Anolis sagrei: one gene and its partner. The protein of the gene in region 1 binds, or shares a complex with, the protein of each later gene. Links are inferred from orthologs where the notes say so. Each region holds a gene or a part of one and is shown in the gene's direction. Other genes may lie near its edges. The genes, in order: POLR3F and CRCP.

Region 1 (12,179 bases):
CTGATTTCCATCTTCCACTTTTCTGATAAGCTAGCTCAAGTTTTATACCAAGCAAAGACTATATTTTCCTTCATTTGAAAGATACATTAGATTGGGATGTTCCCTTACTTTGTGACTGCCAGAGCTTTCACTGTTATTTTTCCATCTGGTAATGTGATTGGTTCCTTATACATAAATGTATTGTCATCTCTGTAACCAAGTCTTCTAAAGATTTGTGGTTTACTTCCATCAATAGTATAATATATTGTAACATCAGGGGTATCTGGAAGACACAAAAATTAAAGATACCACGTTCTTTCATCTCCAAAAGGAATTACAATTCATAGAATAATAGAATCATAGAGTTGGAAGAGATCACATGGACCATTTAGTTCAACCCACTGCTATGCATGAATGGCACAATTGAAGCATTCCTGACAGATGGCCATTAAGCCTCTGTTTAAAAGTCTCCAAAGGAGCCTTTACTACACTCCGAAGCAAAGGGTTCCACTGCTGAACATTTTTAAAAGAAATGAATGCATGAAAAATTAATTCGAATTTAATTCTACCTCCTAAGAATACATTTAAGGGTATTTAGGGGGAAGATAGTAAGTTTGGGGGGGGGGTAGATTCTTGGTCTATTAGGAGATAATAGAGGCCCCTCCCCCTTCTGGCACCAACGACTGCTCTGGCCAGAGAGAAGACAGAGGGGAGCAGAAGACACTGCCATCTTGTCTTTACTAATAATATAATATAGTATATTGTATATACGTATAATATTTATAATATTATAATGTAATACACTATAATACTAGTAATAATAATTCAATATTATAATTTTAATTATATATTTAATTACATGTAATATTACTAATAATATTACAATATAATGGTATAGTGCAATATAGTAATATATACTGATATTGTACTTTGCTAATAATATAATATATTGTATGAAAATATATATTGTAAGCCGCTCTGAGTCCCCTTCGGGGTGAGAAGGGCGGCATATAAGCGCCGTAAATAAATAAATAAATAAATAAATAAATAATGACATCACTAATGATTTAGAGGTTTCAAGTATGTAATTATTTTGTTACAGATAAACTAAACTCTTAACTTCTACAAGATTTCTTGGAATTTATTGAAGGAATAGTAGCTACCATTAAGTTCCATTCCAGTCTGGAGAAAAGGGCCATCTTTCTTAGCTCAGAACAATTTATTTGAATGACCATGGTTTGTTTGTTTTTTGGTCTGATTGAATGACCCTTGGCTCCTCCTGCAATTTAGTCTGCTAATTAAATGGCAGACTAACTGATTGAAAAGCTATAAATGGAGAACAATGGGTAAGCCAGAGATAAAGGGAAAGGCAAGCTATGAACGATAGAGATTCCTTTTTAGTTTTTCTTTTACAGTGGAGGTATGTAAGCCTTATAGACTTTTTAGGAATGAAAACTCATGTCCATGTGAGTTTGGATAAGGAACAGTCTGGATAAGGGCAAACAAATTGAAATTGAATCCAGTCAGGATGGAGGTACTCCTAGTCAGTCGAAAGGCCGAACAGGGTATAGGGTTACAGCCTATGTTGGACGGGGTTACACTCCCCCTGAAGACAAAGGTTTACAGCTTGGGAGGCTCCTAGATTCATCACTGAGCCTGGAACCCCAGGTTTCAGCAGTGGCCAGGAGAACATTTGCACAATTAAAACTTGTGCGCCGGTTGCACCCATACCTTGAGAAGCCAGACTTGGCGACAGTGCTCTATGCTCTTGTTACATCTCGAGTAGACTACTGCAACACACTCTACATGGGGCTGCCTTTGGAGACTGTCCAGAAGCTCCAAGTAGTCCAATTAGCGGCATACTGGAGTGGTGTACAGGGAGCATATAACCCCCCTGTTATGTCAGCTCCACTGGCTGCCAGTTTGCTATTGGGCCCAATTTAAAGTATTGGCTTTGGCCTATAAAGCCCTAAACGGTTCTGGTCCAACTTACCTGTCTGAATGTATCTCCCTTTATGAGACAACTAGAGCTTTAAGATCTGCTGGAGAGCCCTTCTTTAGGTCCCACCCCCTTCGCAAGTGCAACTGGTGGAGATGAGAGACAGGATCTTCTCAGTGGTGGCTCTTCGGCTGTGGAACTCCCTCCCCAATGACATTAGGCTGACCTCACCCCTCCTGTACACAGGCATTCAGGAAGTAGGGTAACACGGAATCCGACCTCAACCTAACAGTCTGAACAATGTCTATGGGAAACCCAAGGAGTATGGAAATCATGACTTAATACTTTGTATGTTTTTAATCTGTTTACTGTATCTATATGTTTTAACTGTTTTATAATATAATATGTTTATTGTAAGCCACTCTGAGACCCCTTCGGGGTGAGAAGGGCAGGGTATAAATATAGTAAATAAATAAATAAATGTGGACAGGATATAGTTGGCTAGTTTCTTCTTTCTATTTTGACTGTATGCTACACTAATCCATTCCCAGTTCTAAAAAAACCCTATAGCTGAAGCTGCTGTCTATTGTTGACAGGCTACCATGGATGAAAATCTAAATGATGTTCTGTCCCAGTATTATGTGATCTATGCTGCTTTCATAGACACTTGTTTTCCTCATCCAATATAGTGAGCACAGAACGCTGGCAGCATTAAAATTCATTAAAAAATCTTAGTGGATCAGGTCACATACACAAACAGTGATATAAACCAATTATTCACAGCAAACTGTGTGTCTCATCATAAAAGGCCAGTTAATCAAAAAACAAAAAAGTATATCACCTATAATAGAACATAAGATGGAAGCATAAGCCAGCATCTGAATCATGCAATATTCCTGTGTCCAATTTTGTGTCTTGTAACTAAGTCATAATTTCAGGAGACCCATAGAGGTGTCAGTTTGTTACAATCCACGGTTTGGGATGTGCTAGACTTTTAAACATTGCAATTTTTACCTAAACACATCTATGTACAGTATAGGTTTATGTAGTTTAAACTGTTTTAATTGAACTTGTTTTAATCATTTTATTTATTTAATATGTCAATAATTTGTTGCATTTTTATCACAATTCTCTTATTTTCAGATTACGTTGTAAACTGTTTTGCACTCCAAACCATGGAAAATTGTATGTTTTAGTTTTTACAAAAAATAAATTGATTACAAGTAACATGTTATTTGTAAATAAACTCTGCCAAGCTTTGAATATATATATATATATATATATATATACATACATACATACATACATACATACACACACACAGAGAGAGAGAGAGAGAGAGCAGGAACCTATGGTTTTGTAGTAGCTTATGGATTGGATGATCCCTTGGAAAAATTAAAGAGATTTATGTTTTGTCACAATGGTGATAGTGGAAAGTTGTGATTTATGATTTTTTTTAAAAAAAACAATGTAAATGAAATGTGATTTGATAGTAGTTTAGAAAGTTCCCATGCAATTTAAAGAACAACAACAACAGTTATCGAAGTGTATTCATTTTAATTATATTGGACCTCACAAGCGGAAAAGAAAAGAAGATTTATAGTAAAGGTAAAAATATACTAGAAGCTTTGGGTGAAAAGAAAAAAAAGCTATTGAACCCAGAGCCTAAATAGTAGAGAGAAATAAGTTCCCTTGATACTGATGGAAAGATCTCTGGATGAGGAAGTTGGGTGTCATTGACAATCTCATGCAGCATTGTCATTTGCTCATGGATTCCTCACAGGACAGATTGAAGCTAAAAAAATAAGTATACTGTCTATAAGCCCATCACATAATTAAATGCAAGTGTAACGTATACAACAATGCTAAAGCCTAATACATAAGAATGTACATGGCAGCAGAAAAAATTAAACAGAGAAAGAAAAACATAATTATAATCCATTGCAGAGATATGTAAAGGAAATGGAAGAAGACATATGAGAAAGCTGTTTTTTAAACAAATTGTTTATTGCTTCCAATAATTTTCCTGTTAGGTTGAAAGATATTTTAAAGACAAAAATGACAAGCAAAATAAAAACAAGAATTAACAAAATGAATATTAAGTTGTATATTTATCAAATATGTGAAGAGATTTATAGCATGCATGTACCTGATTTAAACTCTACAAGTGTATTTGTATCTATTTCATGTTTGGCATTTCCTGATGTCGAGATACGAAGTGGTATAACTTGAGGCACTAGGATGGAGCCAGCAGTCATTTTTTCCTACAATTGTTTTTAAAAAACCAAAAGAAAAAAAACCCATAAATAAACATAGTACAGCAAGGAAAATTTAAGTCAATAAATCCAACTGAAGGATTTATCTACATTACCCCTCTGGGAATAAGGGCCCTTCTATACTGACCATATAATGCAGTTCAAATTTGCCTCCTCAAATTGCAAATTCCAAGACCCCATACAATGTTCCCAGGGTAGTTAAAGTAGAATAATAACATAGTATAATGTCATTAGTTTTTCTACAAGCACACACTGTATATTACACACAGCTAGAATTTTGAACTGTTGGTTCTTTCTGGGCCCTTCCACACAGCCATATAACCTAGAATATCGAGGCAGAATAACCCACAATATCTGCTTTGAGCTGGAATATCTGAGTCCACACTGCCAGATACCCCAATTCAAAGCAGAAAATGTGGGATTTTATTCAGCTGTGTGGAAGGGGCCTCACTCTGCTGCTATTTCTGAACCATGTTAGCCCAGAGAAACATTCTGGAAAACTTTGTATCCTTTGGGACTGACCTAATTAAATAAAAGTTTTCTGAAGGAGTTTAAGTTCCAAAAGGCTGTCTTAAAACCAGATTGAAAGGAATGTAGGGCCCCTTTCACACAGCTGAATAAAATCTCACATTTTCTGCTTTGAACTGGAATATATGGCAGTGTGGACTCAGATAACCCAGTTCAAAGCAGATATTGTGGGATTTTTCTGCCTTGATATTCTGGGTTATATGGCTGTGTGGAAGGGCCCCATATCATTACTATTCAGGAAAACCTAAAGTTGAACTCCTATATTTTCAAGTCACTTGCCCCTAAATTGTGGCCTAACAATTATACGGTTTTTATCCATGGGTTCTCCTCCACTTCTTCAAAGCTACTGGTGTCATACAGCTTCTTTGTGCATTTTATTTTGGGAGCTATGGCATGGCATGAGTTTTTTCAACTCCAAGGAGCTTTGGGAAGCCAAGCAAGCAGCCGAAACACCTTAAAGAAGAGCTTTCCAAAGATTTAATGCTGGTGACACATCTTTTTAGACAGGTATCATTTCATAACATAGTAATTCAGTTTTACTAGCAATCAACTCCTTGTAAGAGACGTAGAAACATACATGTCATAACAAAAATGGGCATTGTTCCATTATCAGGGCAGAAACCATTAGGGGCCACGAGAGAGAGGATACTTGATTATATGGGGGGTGGACAGTGGGTTGAAGGAGTAAAGTCATCCCTCCCCTTTTCCTGTTATTCTGCCCAACCCTCCTTTATGATATGGGAAGCAGAGAGGGGAAATAATCTCCAAAAACAGGGGAAATTATTTTCGTCCTTCAACTCCTTCCCATAAAATGAAGTATCCTTCTCTCTCTAGCAGCCTCTAATAGCTTCCACCTGGATAATGGAACAGTACCAAAAATGTATGGAAATACAACGTACCTCATGAAACTTGTAATTTATATATAAGAAATATATGATTTATTGCTTATTTTATATTGACCCAGAGGTTTTCTCTTCTGTTCACATGACAAACCTAAATTCTGAAGGTGATGCATGAATGTGTCCCAACACAGTTTGGAAACAGATATTGTGAGATGATCTGCCTTGATATTCTAGGTTATATGGCTGTGTGGAAGGGCCCTCATATAACCCTGTTCAAAGCAGATATTGTGGATGATCTGTCTGGATATTCTGTGTTATAAGGCTGTGTGAAATGGCCCTCAGATAACCCAGTTCAAAGCAGATATTGTGGTATGATCTGTCTTGATATTCTGGGTTATATGGCTGTGAGGAAGAGCTCTCTGTTCAAAGCAGATATTGTGGATGATCTGCCTGGATATTCTGTGTTATAAGGCTGTGTGAAATGGTCCTCAGATAACCCAGTTCAAAGCAGATATTGTGGGTGATCTACTTTGATATTCTGGGTTATAAGGCTGTGTGAAAGAGTCCTCAGATAACCTAGTTCAAAGGAAATATGGTGGGATGATCTGCTGTGATATTCTGGGTTATATGACTGTGGGCCCTTCCACACAGCCCTCTATCCCAGAATAATAAAGCAGAAAATCCCACATTATCTGAGTGTGCTTAGATAACCCAGTCAAAGTAGATATTCTGGAATATAGGGTTGTGTGGAAGGGCCCTGGGCGAATAACTGTAGCGTAGACCTTAACTTTTGAGTTGTTCAGGCATTTTTGAGTCATACAGAATGCCTGTAGTTTGTTGCCTTGTTTCCTTCTCTCAGCTGCTATTTCTGAGCCATGTTAGCCACACACAATATATAATATTATATGTATATGTATATGTATGTGTGTGTATATATATATATTTATGACCATCGTGGCATTGAATTGTGCCAATTGTAAGCCGCCTTGAGTCGCCTCCCTTCTATGAGAAAGGCGGCATAGAAATGTTAATTTTTAATTTTTGTATGTATGTATTTTATCTTTTATAATTTAGCTGTAAATCGCCTAGAGCATTCTCGGATGGAGAGCGATTAATAAGTTATTAAATGATGATGATGATGAAATGCCACAAATAAATAAATAAATAAAAATTGTTCATAACTTAGGGTCCTTCCACACAGCCATATAACCCAAATATTAAGGCAGATAATCCACAACATCTGCTTTGAACTGGGTTATCGGAGTCCACACTGCCTTATATTGCAGTTCAAAGCAGATAATGTGGGATTTTCGAGTTGTGTGGAAGGGGCCTTAGAGACTGCCTGTATTACCATTGACGAGTTCTAACCCACTTTGACTCTGCCCCTGAGCAGCAGGCCTTGGTCTAACCTGCCTCTCATTGCTTTGCTGTGAGGACAACAAGGGCATCACCCCCTTCTTGGGAAGAAGGCTCAGCATACAGTTCCATTAAGAAAAATCCCTTTATCCTGCAAAATCCACGCCCCTCCCTTTTCCCCTCCACTTTCCACGTCAGTCTCTGATTCTCAGAACTCACCGCCTGGCTGGGAGGCAAAGCAGAGTCTGCGACTGGCTTGGTCTCCGTGGCAACCGCAGCTTTCTCTGGGCGCAGCCTGTTGACGTCATCTGAGCGCGCCGCTTGCCTGACGCCGAATCGCCCACAGTCTGCATGGTCGGAGGAAGGAGAGCTTTGAGTGATGGCGGAGTTGAAAGCCCCAGAGCCCTTGGAAATCGAAAACAGGTGGGCAGGACAAAGTGTTGAGGGCCCTTCCATGTAGCTGACTAAAATCCCACATTACCTGCGTTGAACTGGAATATATGACAGTGTGGACTCAGATAATCCAGTTCAAAGCAGATATTGTGGGATTTTCTGCCTTGATATTCTGGGTTATATGACTGCATGGAAGGGTCCTAGAATAAAGGGAAACAAGGCTAAAGAATTGGAATGTAGTGGTGATAATAAGTGTATAGTGACTACTGTAAGAGTGTTTGTGTGGAAATGTTAAGGTGCCTGTATGCCAGTGGTTCTCAACCTGTGGGTTCCCAGATGCTTTGGCCTTCAACTCCCAGAAATCCTAACAGCTGGTAAACTGGGATGTGGCTGGGATTTCTTGGAGTTGTAGGTCAAAAAACCTGGGTACCCACAGGTTGAGAACTACTGCTGTATACATTTATGCAGCACATATAATACTATGGGCCTTTCCAGACAGTCATATAATCCAGAGGATTGTAGCTGTTTAATCAGGTTCATAGAAAGAGATGCGGTACTTCAAGTAACCTTGACCACTTCCTCAGCAAATATTGCTGCAGTTATATATGTTACAGTCTTAGCTTTTCCACAATTAACACCAATGTTCAAAATAAGTACTATTATGTAGTCTTGGGCAGTATGCTAAAACTTGGGGTGATAAGAAAAGTAGGTCCTTTTCAAGCAGGCCCTATATCTCAGGATCGGATCCCAGGTTTTCTGTTTATCCCAAATTATCTGATACAGTGTTGACTCATATAATCCAGTTATAGCAGAAAACCTGGGATCAGATCCTGGGAAATAGGGCCTGTCTGGTAGAGCCTTTACGGTGAGGGATACTGGAGGTGTGAACTCCTAAGGCAAGAACTGCTTTCTTTTGTACAGAATTAACCAATAGAGACAGTCAATGTATGACAGGGGTAAGAGCAACGGGACTCTTTTCTTGATCATTGTTCTTTATATTAGTTTTTGTTGTATTTGTGTGTGCTTACTGTTTATCACCACTTTTAATAAAAGGTGGGGTTTCTGTGTTTTAAATAAAATACATTGGCTAATGCGTTTTTGAGTTTTGTGTGTGGTGATCCCTTTTTATTTTTATTTTTTTGCTATTCCTACTTTGTCTAGGATCATTGAGCTTTGCCATCAGTTTCCTCATGGCATCACAGACCAGGTGATTCAGAATGATATGCCTCACATGGAAGCTCAGCAACGAGCCATGGCCATTAACAGACTGCTCTCTATGGTAAAAAGCCTATTAAGTTTGCATGAAAGTATGTCTTCAAAAATGCTGGATAAAATATAGTGGTTTATTATACTTCCTTTTAAAGTAGCAGTTCTTCTGGGTCTGCAAACTGATAGAACAGCTGTTGGTTCTATCTTCTGTCTCTTTATCTGTCTCTTTATCAAAAGGAGCATGCCACATTACCATTAATTCTAGCACACCTAAATCTTTGGTTTTTGTTTAGGATTGTTTTTATATTATACTAGCTTGGGGACCCGGCGTTGCCCGGGTTATTAGAGAAAGTGGGTAATGGCGGTTCTGTATGCCAAGTTTGGTCTTTATTGGTCTTTGGATAATGGCAGCATTATTTTCAGGAAGTGAGTGAAGGTACTTGAAGTCCCATCATCCATGGGCCATCCTCCTACAAACAGCAGCAGGATATAGAGTGGGTCATGGGGGCTTTGTGTGCCAAGTTTGGACTTTATCAGTCATTAGATGAGGGTGGCAGTGGTGTCAGTAAGTGAGTGAAGGTATTGCAAGTCCCATCATCCAAAGTCCATCCCCTTTCAAATTGCAGCAGGATGTAGAGTGGATCATGGGGGCTCTGTGTGCCAAGTGTGGTCTTGATTGGTCATTAGAAGGGGGTTGCAGCAATCTTTGGAAGGGAGTGGAGGTACTTGAAGTCCCATCATCCATGGTCTGTCCTCCTCCAAACTGCACCAGGATGTAGAGTGGGTCATTGGAGCTCCATGTGGCAAGTTTAGTCTTGATTAGTCATTGGCGAGGGTCTCAGTGGTCTCAGGAGGTGAGCAACAGTACTGCAAGTCCCATCATCCATCTCCAAAGTTTTCCAAATAACACCAGGACGTAAAGTGGGTCATGAAAGGTCCATGTGCCAAGTTTGGTGTTGATCCGTCATTGGATGAGGTTTGCAGAGGTCTCAGAATGTGAGTGAAGATACTGGAAGTTCCATCATCCATGGTCCACCCTTCTCCAAAACTGCAGCAGGATGTAGAGTGGGTCATGGGGGCTCTGTGTGCCAACTTTGGTCTTGATTGGTCATTAGATGAGTTTTGCAGTAGTCTTGGATAGTGGAGGTACTTGAAGTCCCATCATCCATGGTCTGTCATCCTCCAAACTGCTCCAGGATGTAGAGTGGGTCATTGAAGCTCCATGTGCCAAGTTTAGTCTTGATGAGTCATTGGCGAGGGTCTCAGTGGTCTCAGGAAGTGAGTGAAGTGACTGCAAGTCCCATCATCCATTGTCAAATTCTTCCAAACCGCACCAGGATGTAGAGTGAGTTATGCAGGCTCTCTGTGTAAATTGTGGTGCTGATCCATCATCGTTGGCAGTTGTAATGGTCTTAGGAAGGGAGTGCAGGTAATGCAAGTTCCATCATCCATGGTGCATCCTCCCTCAAACTGCACCTGGATGTAGAGTGCGTCATGGAGACTCAGTGTGCCAAGTTTGGTATTTATCGGTAATTGGATGAGGGTTGCAGTGGTCTGAAGAATTGAGCAGTGGTACTGCAAGTCCCATAATCCACGGTCCATCTCGGCCAAACCACACCAGGACGTAAAGTGGGTCATGAGAGGTCTCTTTGTGAAATTTGGTCCTGATCAGTCATTGGATAAGGTTAACAGCGGTCTCAGAATGTGAGTGGTGGTACTGCAAGTCCCATCATCCATGGTTCATAGTCCTCCAAACTGCAGTAGGATGTAGAGTGGGTGATGGGGGCTCTGTGTGCCTATTTCGGTCTGTATTGGGAGTGTTCTGACCCAGCCACCGGCCTTTCCTTTCCTCTCTTTCTCATCTCGGAATGTTGGAATTGAGGCTGGCCAATCAGAGACCATATGCAAATTTCCTTCTCATGACTCCGTTTCTGTCATGAACTCTTTTCTCCACCAGGGGCTCCTCTTGAAGCTGGCCAATCAGAGACCATATGCAAATAGCACCGCTGCCCAGCCAATCGGAATGTTGGAACTTTCTGGCTGGCCAATCAGAACGCTGGCACATACACCGTCCGCCGTCCGCCCTCCGCCCTCCACAATTCCTCTGTCCGATACAAACACTCTTCTTTATTATATACTAGCTTGGGGACCCGGCGTTGCCTGGGTTATTAGAGAAAGTGGGTAATGGTGGTTCTGTATGCCAAGTTTGGTCTTTATTGGTCTTTGGATAACGGCTGCATTATTTTCAGGAAGTGAGTGAAGGTACGTGAAGTCCCATCATCCATGGGCCATCCTCCTACAAACAGCAGCAGGATATAGAGTGGTTCATGAGGGCTCTGTGTGCCAAGTTTGGTCTTTATCAGTCATTAGATGAGGGTGGCAGTGGTGTCAGTAAGTGAGTGAAGGTACTGCAAGTCCCATCATCCAAAGTCCATCCCCTTTCAAACTGCAGCAGGATGTAGAGTGGATCATGAGGGCTCTGTGTGCCAAGTGTGGTCTTCATTGGTAATTAGAAGAGGGTTGCAGCCATCTTCGGAAGGGAGTGGAGGTACTTGAAGTCCCATCATCCATGGTCTGTCCTCCTCCAAACTGCACCAGGATGTAGAGTGGGTCATTGGATCTCCATGTGCCAAGTGTAGTCTTGATTAGTCATTGGCGAGGGTCTCAGTGGTCTCAGGAAGTGAGCAAAGGTACTGCAAGTCCCATCATCCATCTCCAAAGTTTTCCAAACAACACCAGGACGTAACGTGGGTCATGAGAGGTCTATGTGCCAAGTTTGGTCTTGATCAGTCATTGGATGAGGTTTGCAGAGGTCTCAGAATGTGAGTGAAGGTACTGGAAGTTCCATCATCCATGGTCCACCCTTCTCCAAAACTGCAGCAGGATGTAGAGTGGGTCATGGGGGCTCTGTGTGCCAACTTTGGTCTTGATTGGTCATTAGATGAGTTTTGCAGCAGTCTTGGGTAGTGGAGGTACTTGAAGTCCCATCATCCATGGTCTGTCGTCCTCCAAACTGCTCCAGGATGTAGAGTGGGTCATTGAAGCTCCATGTGCCAAGTTTAGTCTTGATGAGTCATTGGCGAGGGTCTCAGTGGTCTCAGGAAGTGAGTGAAGTGACTGCAAGTCCCATCATCCATTGTTAAATTCTTCCAATCTGCACCAGGATGTAGAGTGGGTCATGCTGGGTCTCTGTGTAAATTGTGTTCCTGATCCATCATCGTTGGCAGTTGTAATGGTCTTAGGAAGGGAGTGCAGGTATTGCAAGTCCCATCGTCCATGGTGCATCCTCCTTCAAACTGCACCTGGATGTAGAGTGCGTCATGGAGACTCAGTGTGCCAAGTTTGGTATTTATTGGTAATTGGATGAGGGTTCAGTGGTCTGAAGAATTGAGCAATGGTACTGCAAGTCCCATAATCCACGGTCCATCCCCGGCCAAACCACACCAGGACGTAAAGTGGGTCATGAGAGGTCTCTGTGCGAAGTGTGGTCCTGATCAGTAATTGGATAAGGTTAACAGCGGTCTCAGAATGTGAGTGGTGGTACTGCAAGTCCCATCATCCATGGTTCATCCTCCTCCAAACTGCAGTAGGATGTAGAGTGGGTGATGGGGGCTCTGTGTGCCTATTTCGGTCTGTATTGGGAGTGTTCTGACCCAG
Region 2 (12,239 bases), on another chromosome or scaffold:
CACTTGGAAGGAAATCATACTCAGCCATGAGTGATAGCCTATGAATAATAATAATAATAATAATAATAATAATAATAATAAATAGCCTTACAAGCTAGATCTTGGGCCCCTTTATATCCTTTTGGGGTGGTTCTCCCGCAAATATTCATAGATCTCTCTACCAAATATTGTTTTTCTAGGAACGATCAACATATTACGAAACCTAACCCATCGAAGATCATAGAAGCAACCTTAAGATAGACTGCACCTAACACTGGAGGCTCTACAATAAAACCCTCCCTATAGGAAATGGGACATGGGTATTTTTTTTGGAGGGAGGGAAAAGTCTGAACATTTCGCTCACCTCGGATGCCATGTCTGGCGACGGATGTTCTGTTCCTTTTCAATGGGAGAAAATAATAACCTGCAAAAATAGGGAGGGAAATATATATATAGAAAAGGGGTCTCATGAATTAGCCTTTCTTTTTAATTGCAAAATAATTATATATAATTAAATCTATATATGTATATATAGATTGCAATTGTTGTTTCCTCTCACCTGCTTCAATGCCAGCCGAAGCTCTGCTGCTGCTACTGCTGCTCCAAGGCTCAGGGGTCTCCCTTTTGAAGGGAATGCCCTGCACAAGCCACGCCCCCAAGAGGCGGGGCCAGGAGGAGGCATGAATGGGAGGCCACGCCCCTCCCTCCCTGGCCACGCCCCCTCCCTGGGCCATACGACTGGGTTCTAGCCTTCAAAATTGCACACACAGCCCAATTGTAGGGAAAGAATACATACGCTTTCCAAGCAAGAAAAGGTCTTCGTCATCATAATTCCATCATCATTATCATAAAATAGGAATGTCCTGGCCCCCGATTTTGGGTTATTTTGGAGAGATCTAGGAATCAATAAAGAGAATTATCCTCATTGGCCATCAATGTCATAAGATGGGGGGAAAACAGGAATGGTCCTGCGTTATATTGAAGAGATCTGGATAATACGAATAATAATAACAATTGCAATTATAATTATTGGGAGAGAAATTGAGCGTGTACAAAATTATTATTATTATTAATATTAATAATAATAATAATTACCTTACCTTGGTAGAGAAGTGGATAAATAATAATAAATAATAATAATCACTTGGTAAAGTAGAGCTGATTAAGAAATTAATAATAATAATAATAACATTAACTTGGTAGAGAAGTGGATAAATAAATAATAATAATAACTTGGTAAAGTAGAGCTGTGTAAGAAAATAATAATAATAATAATATTAACTTGATAGAGAAGTGGGTAAATAAATAAATAATAATAATAACTTGGTAAAGTAGAGCTGTGTAAGAAATTAATAATAATAATAATATTAACTTGGTAGAGAAATTGGTAAATAATAAATAAATAAATAACTTGGTAAAGTAAAGCTGTGTAAGAAATTAATAATAATAAGAAGAACATTAACTTGGTAGAGAAATTGGTAAATAACAATAATAATAATAATAATAATAATAATAAATAACTTGGTAAAGTAAAGCTATGTAAGAAAATAATAATAATAATAATTTGGTAAAGAAGAGGTGGGTAAATAATAATAATTAATAATAATCATAACTCGTTGGAGAGGAGGTATGTAAGAAAACAACAACAACAACAACAACTTGGTAGAGGAGGTGTGTAAATAATAATATTAATACTACTAATAATAATGTGGTAGAGAAGTGGTGGAATAATAATAATAATAATAATAATAATAATAATAACAACTTGGTAAAGAAGAGGTGTGTAAGATAATAATGTTAAATTGGTAGAAAAGAGGTCTGTAATATTTTTTTTTCGTGTCAGGAGCAACCTGAAAAATTGCAAGTCGCTTCTGGTGTGAGAGAATTGGCCATCTGCAAGGATGTTGCCCAGGGGACGCCCAGATGTTTTGATGTTTGACCATCCTTGTGGGAGGCTTCTCTCATGTCCTTGCACGGAGCTGGAGCTGACAGAGAGAGCTCATCTGCACTCTCCACAGATTCGAACCTGTGACCTATAGGTCTTCAGTCCAACCAGCATAAGGGTTTAACCCACTGCACCATCGGGGGCTCCTGTAATAATAATAATAATAATAATAATAATAATAATAAAAATAATGTTAAGTTGGTAGAGGTGTGTATGAAAATGATGATGATAATAATAGTAGTAACAATAAAGATAATAATTTGGTAGAGGAGAGATGGGTTAATAATAATAAATAATAATTTGCAAAGGATGATAGTAATTATTATTATTTGGTAGAGAAGTGTGATAATATAACAATAATAACAGCAATAATAACATAGAGAAGAGGTGGGTAAGAAAATAATAACAACTTAGTAGAGAAAAGGTTAATAATAATAATAATAATAATAATAATGTGGTAGAGAAGAGGTGGATAAGAAAATAATAATAATAATAATAATAATAATAATAATCATCATCATCATTATCATCCGGTAGAGAAGAGATGTGTAAGAAATTAATAATAATAATAATAATAATAATAATAATAACTTGGTAAAGAAGAGGTGTGAAAGAAAATAATAATAATGTGATAGAGAAGTGGGTAAATAATAATAATAATAGATGCTGATGATAGTAAGAAGAGGAAGAAGACAGCGAGGAGGAGGAAGAAGTGCAGTTTAGAAATCTGGAAGGGGAAAAGCAGGTTATTATTATTAATATTATAAATAATAATAATAATAATAATAATGGCAGCCCAGGAATCTGGAGGTCCACGTGATGGCCACCCATTTTCTCGTGTCTTCAGCAACCTCTTTCTATGGATAAGCCCTTTGTGTGATACGTGTTATTCTTACATTGACGTATAGAAAAACGGTTGCCCCGCTCAATGGGGGGAAAGCAACAAAAAGGGAGCCAATAAAGGAAAGGGTCCAGTCTGCATTTCCTGCGTGAATGGCAGGGTCAGCGCCCTCGTTTCCAAAGCAAGGATGACAAGGGAGCCAAAAAGACAAAGCCACCCATGAGGCCGCTGGGCATTGTGTTTCCTGAATGAGCCAGAAAGAAAGGAAGGAAGGGATGAAAAGAGAGGAAGAAAAAAGGGGCTTCTCTCCAGCCCTCCATCTATCTATCTATCCATCCATCCATCCGCTGAGTTGGCACACTTTCCCCAGGCATGAATGGGGGCCCCCCTGCATGCGTGTGCGCTTTCCAATTCTGTCCCTTGCACGCACGCACAACACGGAAAGACTTTGGAGCCATCAGCAAATACTCCTACTAATAAAAAGGTAAAGGTCAAGGTTTTCCCCTTGACATGAAGTCCAGCCATGTCCGACTCTCGGAGTTGGTGCTCATCTCCATTTCTAAGCCAAAGAGCCGGCATTGTCCATAGACACCTCCAAGGTCATGCGGCTGGCATGACTGCATGGAGCACTGTTACCTTCCTGCTGAAGAGGTACTCACATTTGCATGTTTTTAAACTGCTAGGTTAGCAGAAGCTGGGGCTCATAGCGGAGCTCACCCCAATCCCCGGATTTGAACCGCCATCCTTTTATTCAACAAGATCAGCAGCTCAGCGATTTAACCCGCTGCACCACTGGGGCTCCTATTAATACTACTACTAATAATAATGGCACTATCTTTCATGAGAAAGAGAGAGGTGGAAAAGGGCACAAAGGTGTGTAAGAAGGAAGGAAGGAGAGAGAGAGAAGGAAAGAAGGAATGAAAAGAAGGAAGGAAGGAAGGAAAGAAAGAAAGGAGGGAAGAAAGAAGAGAAGGAAGGAAAGAAGGAAGGAGAGAAGGAAGGAAAGAAGGAGGGAAGGAAGGAGAGAAGGAAGAAAGGAGAGAGAGAAGGAAGGAAAGAAAGAAGGAGAGAAGGAAGAAAGGAGGGAGAGAAGGAAGGAAAGAAAGAAGGAAAGACAAAAGGAGGGAAGGAAGGAATAAGGATGGAGAGAAGGAAGGAAGGAGAGAAAGAAGAAAAGAGGGAGACTAGGAAGGAAGGAAGGAAGGAAGGAAGGAAGGAAGGAGAGAAGAAAGGAAAGAAGGAGGGAAGGAAGGAGAGAAGGAAGAAAGAAGGGAGAGAAGGAAGGATGGAAAGAAAGAAAGACAGAAGGAAGGAAGGAAGGAAGGAAGGAAGGAAAAATTAAGGATGGAGAGAAGGAAGGAAGGAGAGAAAGAAGAAAGAAGGGAGAGAAGGAAGGAAGGAAAAAAGGAGGGAGGGAAGGAAGGAAGGAAGGAAGAAGGAAGGAAGGAGTGAAGGAAAGAAAAAAGAAGGAAGGAAGAAGGAAGGAAGGAAGGAAGAAAAGAAGAAAGGAGAGGAAGGAAGAAAGGAGGGAGAGAAGGAAGGAAGGAAGGAAGGAAGGAAGGAAGGAAGGAAGGAAGGAAGGAAGGAAGGAGAGGCTCCTTTCCCTAAAGCCGGAAATACACATGATATGATATGGTATAATAAGATACGATAAAGGAGCCCCCAGTGGCACAGTGAGTTAAACCGCTGAGCTGTTGAACTTGCTGAGTGAAAGGTTGGTGGTTCGAATCCAGAGAGTGGAGTGAGGTCCTGCTGTTAGCCCAGCTTCTGCCAACCTAGCAGTTCGAAAACATACAAATGTGAGTAGATCAATAGTACTGCTTCAGCGGGAAGGTAAGGGTGCTCCATGTAGTTATGTCAGCCACTTGGCCTTGGAGGTGTCTACGGATAACTCTGGCTCTTCGGCTTGGAAATGGAGATGAGTACCAGCCTCCAAAGTTGGACACAACTGGACTTAATGTCAGGGGAAAACCTTTACCTTGTACTAAGATATGATATACCTATGAATTGGACCTCCGTCACAGATGCTGAAAGGCCTGGACCATCTAAAAGGGAAGAATAGCAGGCCTCCTCCTCCTCCATGGGCGCTCAAAAGCCTTAATAATATAAAAGGAAATAAGAGGTGTTTGTTAATGCCCTTAGACCACAGTTCATTTGCATACAAAACAAGTCAACACAACACAACACAATTGGCATCTAGATCTGGCCTAGTAACCTTCAATGGCATGAAAGGTGGGAGAGATGCCAATGTTTTGCACTGATTCGCTGCCAAAAAGGGCTGCTGCCAAGTCCGACCTCTTCCATGGACGCTAAAAGGAAATCATAGGAGAGTTCTTAAATGTTCTTAAAGGCCATAGAAGTCAATGCAAGGCAGCAGGCTCTCCCTTCATTCAAAGTATCTATAGGGTTAAGTAGATGGAGTAATAATAATAATAATAATAGTCTCTTAATTAACTGCCCCCCATGGGAATTGGTAGATATGCAATAATAATAATAATAATAATAATAATAATAATAATCTTTCAATCAACTGGCCCCCATGGGAATTGGTAGATATGACACAATAATAATAATAATAATAATAATAATAATAATAATAATAGTCTTTCAATTAACTGGCCCCCATGGAAACTGGTAGATATGCCATGATAATAATAATAATAATAATAATACTGTTTGGATCGTCGATGTTGCAATTCCAGGCGATAGCAGGATTGAAGAGAAAAAAAATGAGGATTTAAAGATCGATCTGCAAAGACTCTGGCCGAAGCCAGTCAAGGTGGTCCCAGTGGTGATTGGCACACTGGGTGCAGTGCCTCAAGACCTTGGCCTGCACTTAAACACAATCCGCGCTGACAAAATTATCATCTGCCAGCTGCAGAAGGCCTTTGAGGGGAATTTACCTTGATTTGAGGGAGTTGTAGTTCACCTATATCCAGGGAGCACTGTGAACCCAATGATGGATCTGGACCAAACTTGGCATGCATACCTGATATGCCCAAATTTGAATATTGGTGAGTTTTGAGGGGAATTCGTCTGTGTACTTTGGAGTTATAGATCCTGGGATTTATAGTTCACCTGCAATCAAGGAGTACTCTGAACTCCACCAATGACGGAATTTGACCATACTTGGCAAACAAAGCCCCCATGACCAGCAAAAAAAAACACTGGAGGCTTTGGAGGGATATTCACCTTGATTTGAGGGAGTTGTAGTTCACCTACATCCAGAGAGCACTAATGGATCTGGGCCAAACTTGGCACACAGACCTGATAGGCCGAAATTTAATGGCTGGAGGGGTTTGGGGGGAACTGACCTTCCTTTCTGCGGATTGGTAGATGCTATAAGAAGAAGAAGAATATATAATAATAATAATAGATTGTGAAGTGGGGCTTCTGATAGAAGTATCACAGCCCTAGACTCCAGTGGCTATTCTCCCGCCAAAAGTCTTGCAAGTGAAAGGCATTCTGGGAGTTGTAGTCCTTGAAGAAAGCGCCCTCCCTTCAGCCGGCCGTCTTCCCTCGCAAGGGCCACGCCTTCCCGCCTTCATCTCCCGGCGTCCTTAGCGCCTCGCTTTCTGCCTCATGCTTGAAGCCCCGCCCCCTTTCCTACCCTGCTTGTCTCCGCCCCCTTTCTCCTCTGTCTCGAAGCTCCACCCCTTTCCCAGTCTCCGCCCCTTTCCTCTCAGTCTCCTCCTCTTCCGGCCTGAAGTCCCGCCTTTTCCCTAATTCTCCTCCTGGGAAGCGAGATGGAAGTGTAAGTTGGAGGGAGGGAAGGAGGGGAAATGGCAGGAAAGCCAGGCCCAGGAGGCGAACCCGAGGGAATCTGAATTATTAATATGTATGTTTTGTTGCTTATAGAATTATTCATATTAAGCTATAGAGAGGAAATAGGATATATTAAGCCATAGAGAGGAGATGATGCTTCTACTATATATACATTTATATGTTCTATTTATATATGTATAACAGATTAAAATACAGAAATGTATATATTAATATATAATACATTATATATACTATACACATGTTAATATATATAGAGAGGTATATTACTTATATGCTTATATAGAATTCATATATATATATATATCACATTATATTAATATAATACTAAAATAATGTATGCAATATTATTTATATATGTATAACATTAAAATAAAGTAATGTATATATATATATAATACATAATATATACTACACACATATAAATGTATATAGAGAGGTATATTACTTAAATGCTTATATAGAATTCATGTATATACATATCACATTATATTAATATAATACTAAATATATGCAATATATGCTTTAATATATATTATATTAATCTGTATTAGAGAGGGATATTGCTTATATATGCATACATATCACATAATATATGCAATTATGTGATATCTATATATATAAGACATACATTATTTTAATATTAATATATAAAAATAATGTATCATATATATATATATACTTTAATGTATAGAGGGGATATTGATTAGATGCATATATATACACACACACACACACACACATACACATCACTTAATATATATTTATAATATATTAATATACATATATTAAAATAATGTATGTATAATATATATTGTTTAATGTACAGAGAGGGCTATTAATTAGATGCTTATATACATATATATTAATATAACAAAATAAAGTAATGTATGTATAATATATGTACTAACATTTATACATACATGTCACATATATATTAAAATTATATATATATATATATATATACACACATACATACATATACTGTATAGAGAGGGAGGGATAATGCTTATATGTCATATTATATATATACTATATTAATATATTAAAATGTATGTATTATATATATATATATACACTTTAATATATAGAGAGGGATATTGATGAGATGTTTACATACATATATGTACATATATATACACATACATATCACTTAATATATTAATATATAAGATAAAGCAATGTATGTATAATATATATATATATATATAAATTTTATATTATTAATTGTAATATCAATAATATGTAGGTTTTGTTGGTTCTTTTGCCGACCAAAAAGCCAACCACACACACACAGACATATATATCTATCTCCCCATAGGATTCCTCTTCATTCGAGCTTCCCAAGACTCCCAAAGAATTAAATATACAGTATAACATATATGGAGCAAAGCCACTGCTACGGCTGACGTGTCTTTGGGGTCAGCACAAAAAACGAAAACTCCCTTCTCAGCATATTTCCGGAAGGGGAGCCCCTCTTTTTTTTTGAATCCCCCCGATTTGTTTTTTTTAAAAAACAAAACACCAAAACAATGCGCCCAACCTGTGGAAGTTTGTGGAAGAGGCGGCGTGGAACTTGCCCCGAAAGTGATGAGCGCAGCGGGTTCGATTCAGAACTAAATCAAATACATTGTGCTTTTAGGTACGTGCGGGGCCCCCCGAGAAGCGCTTTTTGTGGCCGCCGCACTGTTGTTGTTTCTGCGCTCTTTGCTGGCTCAGCAGAAAAAAGGCCTTTGTCTCTGGGATGTATGGATGGATGGAGGGGGCCCTTCCGCACGGCCCTTCGGTGTTTTTGTTAATAGATAGATAGATAGATAGATAGATAGATAGATATGAACAAGATTCAGTTATGAACAAGATTCAGTCGGTTTGTTATTAAGGTGATCCATCATCTGTTAACTATCTATCTGTATCAATCCTCTCTCAACTATTTACCTTCTGTTAACTATCTATCTATCACCTGTCCGTCAATCATCTGCCAACTATATGTATCATCTGGTTTATTAATCATCTGCCAATTATTTATCTGTCTATCTTTCTATTATCTATCATCTGTCCATCAATCATCTACCAATTATCTATCTATGTATCTATCATCTGCCAACTATTTATCTATCATCTATCTATCATATGTCTATCAATCACCTGTCAACTATCTATCTATTAGTGTTTGTCTTCTCTCAACTCATTTTTCTATCTGTATTAATCATCTGTCAATCATCGAGCTATACAGATAAATCATCTCATATATCATCTATATCAATAATCTCTCAACTATCTTATCATCTGTCAACTATCATCTATTTATCAATGATTTGCCAACTATTATCTGTCTGTTTATCAATCATCTGTCAACAGTTTATCAACTATCAATTATCTGTCATCTATCTATCTATCTATCTGTTATCTATCAATCATCTATCGATTATCTGTCATCTATCTTTCATCTGCCTATCAATCTCCTGTCAACTATATTTCTGTTATGTTTCTATAACCTATCAATTATCTGTCAACTATCTATCTATCCATCTATTTATTATCTATCAATCATCTGTCAACAATCTGTCCTCTATCTTTCATCTGTCTATCAATCTCCTGTCAACGATCTTTCTGTTATGTTTCTATCATCTATCGATCATCTGTCAACTATCTTATCTTTCTATCTATAATTCTATTATCTTTAATCATCTGTCAACTATCTGTCATCTATCTTTCATCTGTCAGCTATCTTTGTTATGTTTCTATCTATTATCTATCAATCATCTGTCAACTATCTGTCAACTATCAATTATTTGCCAACTATCTATCATCTATCAATCATTTGTCTATCAATCACTTGTCAACTGTCTATCATCTATCTATCTTTTCATTTGTCTGGATTTTCCCAGCGTTCCTCTGGACACACATTATCTGACTTCAGCAAAATCTGGCTCGAAATGAGGAAGCTGCCCTTTAAGAAAATATCTCCTTTGGGCTTTGAAAACAGTCTGTCTTCTTGAGCCAGGATCGCCTGCATAAAGGCCTAATCCTGCCTGTTTGTTTTGTTGTGCAGGAAAGACGGAAATGCAGCCCTTCTGAGCAACTATGAGGTAAAACCATTTGTGGCATAATTAATTGGACTTCTGATGCCTTGTGTTTCATCTCTGCTCTGTGTATTTTCATATGCATTTTATCAAAGTACATTTCTATATGTGCATTTATAAGTTTTTACTATGTTTATGTGTTTTGATTATGCCGTAACCTGCCTTGAGCCAGGTTGCCCAAAGGCCCTCTCATAGAATGGCCATTTTGGAGCGTTTCGGATTCCCGGATAAGGGAGCTTCACAGTTGAAATGGGACCAAAGCGCTCTAAAAGTGCCATGCAGAACGGTCCCAGCAGAGGGTGGGAAACTCAACGGCGCCTCTCTTTTCCTGGCTTGGTTTACATAGCAATCGCGGATGGGAATGTTGTTGGAAAGTGCTTTGCGGCCCCCGTGAAAGAGCAAATCGGGTTTCCTTTCAGGTCTACCAGCTGCTGATGGACCTGAAGCAGCAGCGGCGAGAGATGGGGAAGAGCAAAGCGAGCGCCGGGCAGCAGAACCTGAACACCATCATGTACGAAGTGAGTCCTTTCGGGGGGTTCCTGGTATCCGTGGACATAGAAAACCCTCTGGTTTTGTTGCCTCTCTCTCTCACGCTATGTTTTCTTCCCTTGGAAAAATCCCCATTCTGACATGTGCGTATTCTTCCCGTTGATGACAGCATGCTTGTGCCGATGTGTTCGTTGTGAGCATCGTTGGGCACTTTTCTGTTGTCTCAGAAACTCCCTGCCATCCGAGTAAATGTGGGCGTCCTTGAACCAAGTCTTGGGAGGTTTAGAAAGTCTGCCTTCAGGAAAAATAATGAACCCAGCGAAAGCCCTTCCCATTTTTGGACATCAATACGCTTAAAAGTTTCAACTTCTTCAGGCCCCCTTTTCCTTCCTTCCTGCTTCATTCATATATATATTTCTTCCTTACTTACTTTATTTCTTCATTTCTTTTTCCCTTCTCTACCTTCCTTCCCTTTCTTTCATTGTCTCCAACATACGTATTACTCCTTTCCCCCCTTCCTTCCTTCCTTCCTTCCTTCCTTCCCTCCCTCCCTCCCTCCCTCCCTCCCTCCCTCCCTCCCTCCCTCCCTCCCTCCCTTTTTCATTGTCTCCAATGTATGTATTTTTTCCTTCCTCACTCGTTCTTCTTTCCTCCCTTTCTTTTCCCTTCCTTCCTTCCTCTCTCTCTCTTCTCTTTCTTCCATTGTCTGCAATGTATGTATTACTTCCTTCCTCACTCATTCTTCTTTCCTCCTTTTCTCCTTCCTCCCTTTCTTTCATTGTCTCCAATGTATGTGTTGCTTCCTTCCTCACTCTTCCTTCCTCCTTTTCACTTTCTTTTCCCTTCCTTCCTTTTCTTCCATTGTCTCCAATGTATATATTGCTTCCTTCCTCACTCATTTTTACTTCCTCCTTTTCTTTTCTCTTCCTTTCTTTGTCTGTCCGTCCTTCCTTCCCTTCCTTCCATTGTCTTCAAGCGACTTAGTTTCTCAAATCACTCCTGACATGAAAAAATTGCCTTCAATATATGTATTGCCTCATTCCTTCCTCACTCATTCTTACTTCCTCTTTTTCTTTTCCCTTTCTTTTCTCTCCCCCCTCATTTTCCTTCTTCCCCTTCTTACATTGTCTCCAATGTATTTTTTCCTTTTCTTTTCCCTTTCATTTCCAGTCTTTCCTTCCTTTCTTCCATTGTCTGCAATGTTTGTATTGCTTCCTTCCTCACTCATTTTTACTTCCTCTTTTTTCCCTTTTTTCCCTCCCTCCCTTTCCTTCTTCTCCTTCTTACATTGTCTCCAATGTATGTATTCTTTTTTCCTTTTCCTTTTCATTTCCAGTATTTTCTTCCTTTCTTCCATTGTCTGCAATGTTTGTAGTGATTTCTTCCTCACTCATTCTTACTTAATCTTTTTCTTTTCCCCTTCTTTTTCCTCCCTCCCTTTCCTTCTTCCCCTTCTTACATTGCCTCCAATTGCCTCCTTCCTTGTCTTTTCCCTTTCATTTCTAGTCTTTCCTTCCTTTCTTCCATTGTCTGCAATGTTTGCATTGCTTTGTTCCTCACTCATTTTTCCTTCCTTTTTCTTTTCCCCTTCTTTTCTCTCCCTCCCTTTCCTTCTTCCCCTTCTTACATTGTCTCCAATGTATGTATTCTTTTTTCCTTTTCTTTTCCCTTTCATTTCCATTTTTCCTTCCTTTCTTCCATTGTCTCCAATAATTGTATTGCTTCCTTCTTTCTTTCCTTCTTTTCTTTTCCCTTCTTTCCTCCCTCCCTTCCTTCCTGTTGTGGGAATTCTTTCCACCTCCCAATAGAACAACAAATGCTGCAGCTTCTCTCTCGCTGAATCAATTTGCAGTTCATTTGGCTTGAGAGGCAGGAATGGGGCTGAGTTTTGCCTTTCTCCCCATCCTTTCAGACCCTGAAATGCATTTCCAAGACGCCCTGCAAGTTCCAGAGCCCACAAGTGGTGAGCGACTTCCTCGCGGCCATGAAAATCCACAAGTTGACCAAGTAAGTGAGGAAATGGGAATGACTGAGTCCTTCCAGGTGAGCCGAAGCAGGTATGGAGATGCGGGATTGCCTCTCACGCTGTATCTGGTGCTCAATGGGATGCAAAGGATGG

The links.
Region 2: POLR3F (region 1) and CRCP share a complex: the UniProt entries of both Homo sapiens proteins name them as parts of the RNA polymerase III complex. The link is inferred for Anolis sagrei from reciprocal best matches to the Homo sapiens genes POLR3F and CRCP.

What each region holds. Positions count from the first base shown.
Region 1 is NC_090024.1:133,270,047-133,282,225, forward strand, and holds the start of POLR3F (DNA-directed RNA polymerase III subunit RPC6), read left to right. Parts: upstream 1-7,219; 5' UTR 7,220-7,299; coding exon 7,300-7,343; intron 7,344-8,474; coding exon 8,475-8,592; intron 8,593-12,179. Other genes in the region: DZANK1 (double zinc ribbon and ankyrin repeat-containing protein 1), read right to left, coding at 109-262, 4,068-4,176. UniProt on the Homo sapiens protein: DNA-dependent RNA polymerase catalyzes the transcription of DNA into RNA using the four ribonucleoside triphosphates as substrates.
Region 2 is NC_090031.1:27,641,354-27,653,592, reverse strand, and holds the start of CRCP (DNA-directed RNA polymerase III subunit RPC9), read left to right. Parts: upstream 1-6,418; 5' UTR 6,419-6,511; coding exon 6,512-6,519; intron 6,520-6,525; exon of another isoform or gene 6,526-6,601; coding exon of another isoform or gene 6,602-6,603; intron 6,604-9,600; coding exon 9,601-9,637; intron 9,638-10,050; coding exon 10,051-10,149; intron 10,150-12,032; coding exon 12,033-12,127; intron 12,128-12,239. Other genes in the region: ASL (argininosuccinate lyase), read right to left, coding at 344-355. UniProt on the Homo sapiens protein: DNA-dependent RNA polymerase catalyzes the transcription of DNA into RNA using the four ribonucleoside triphosphates as substrates.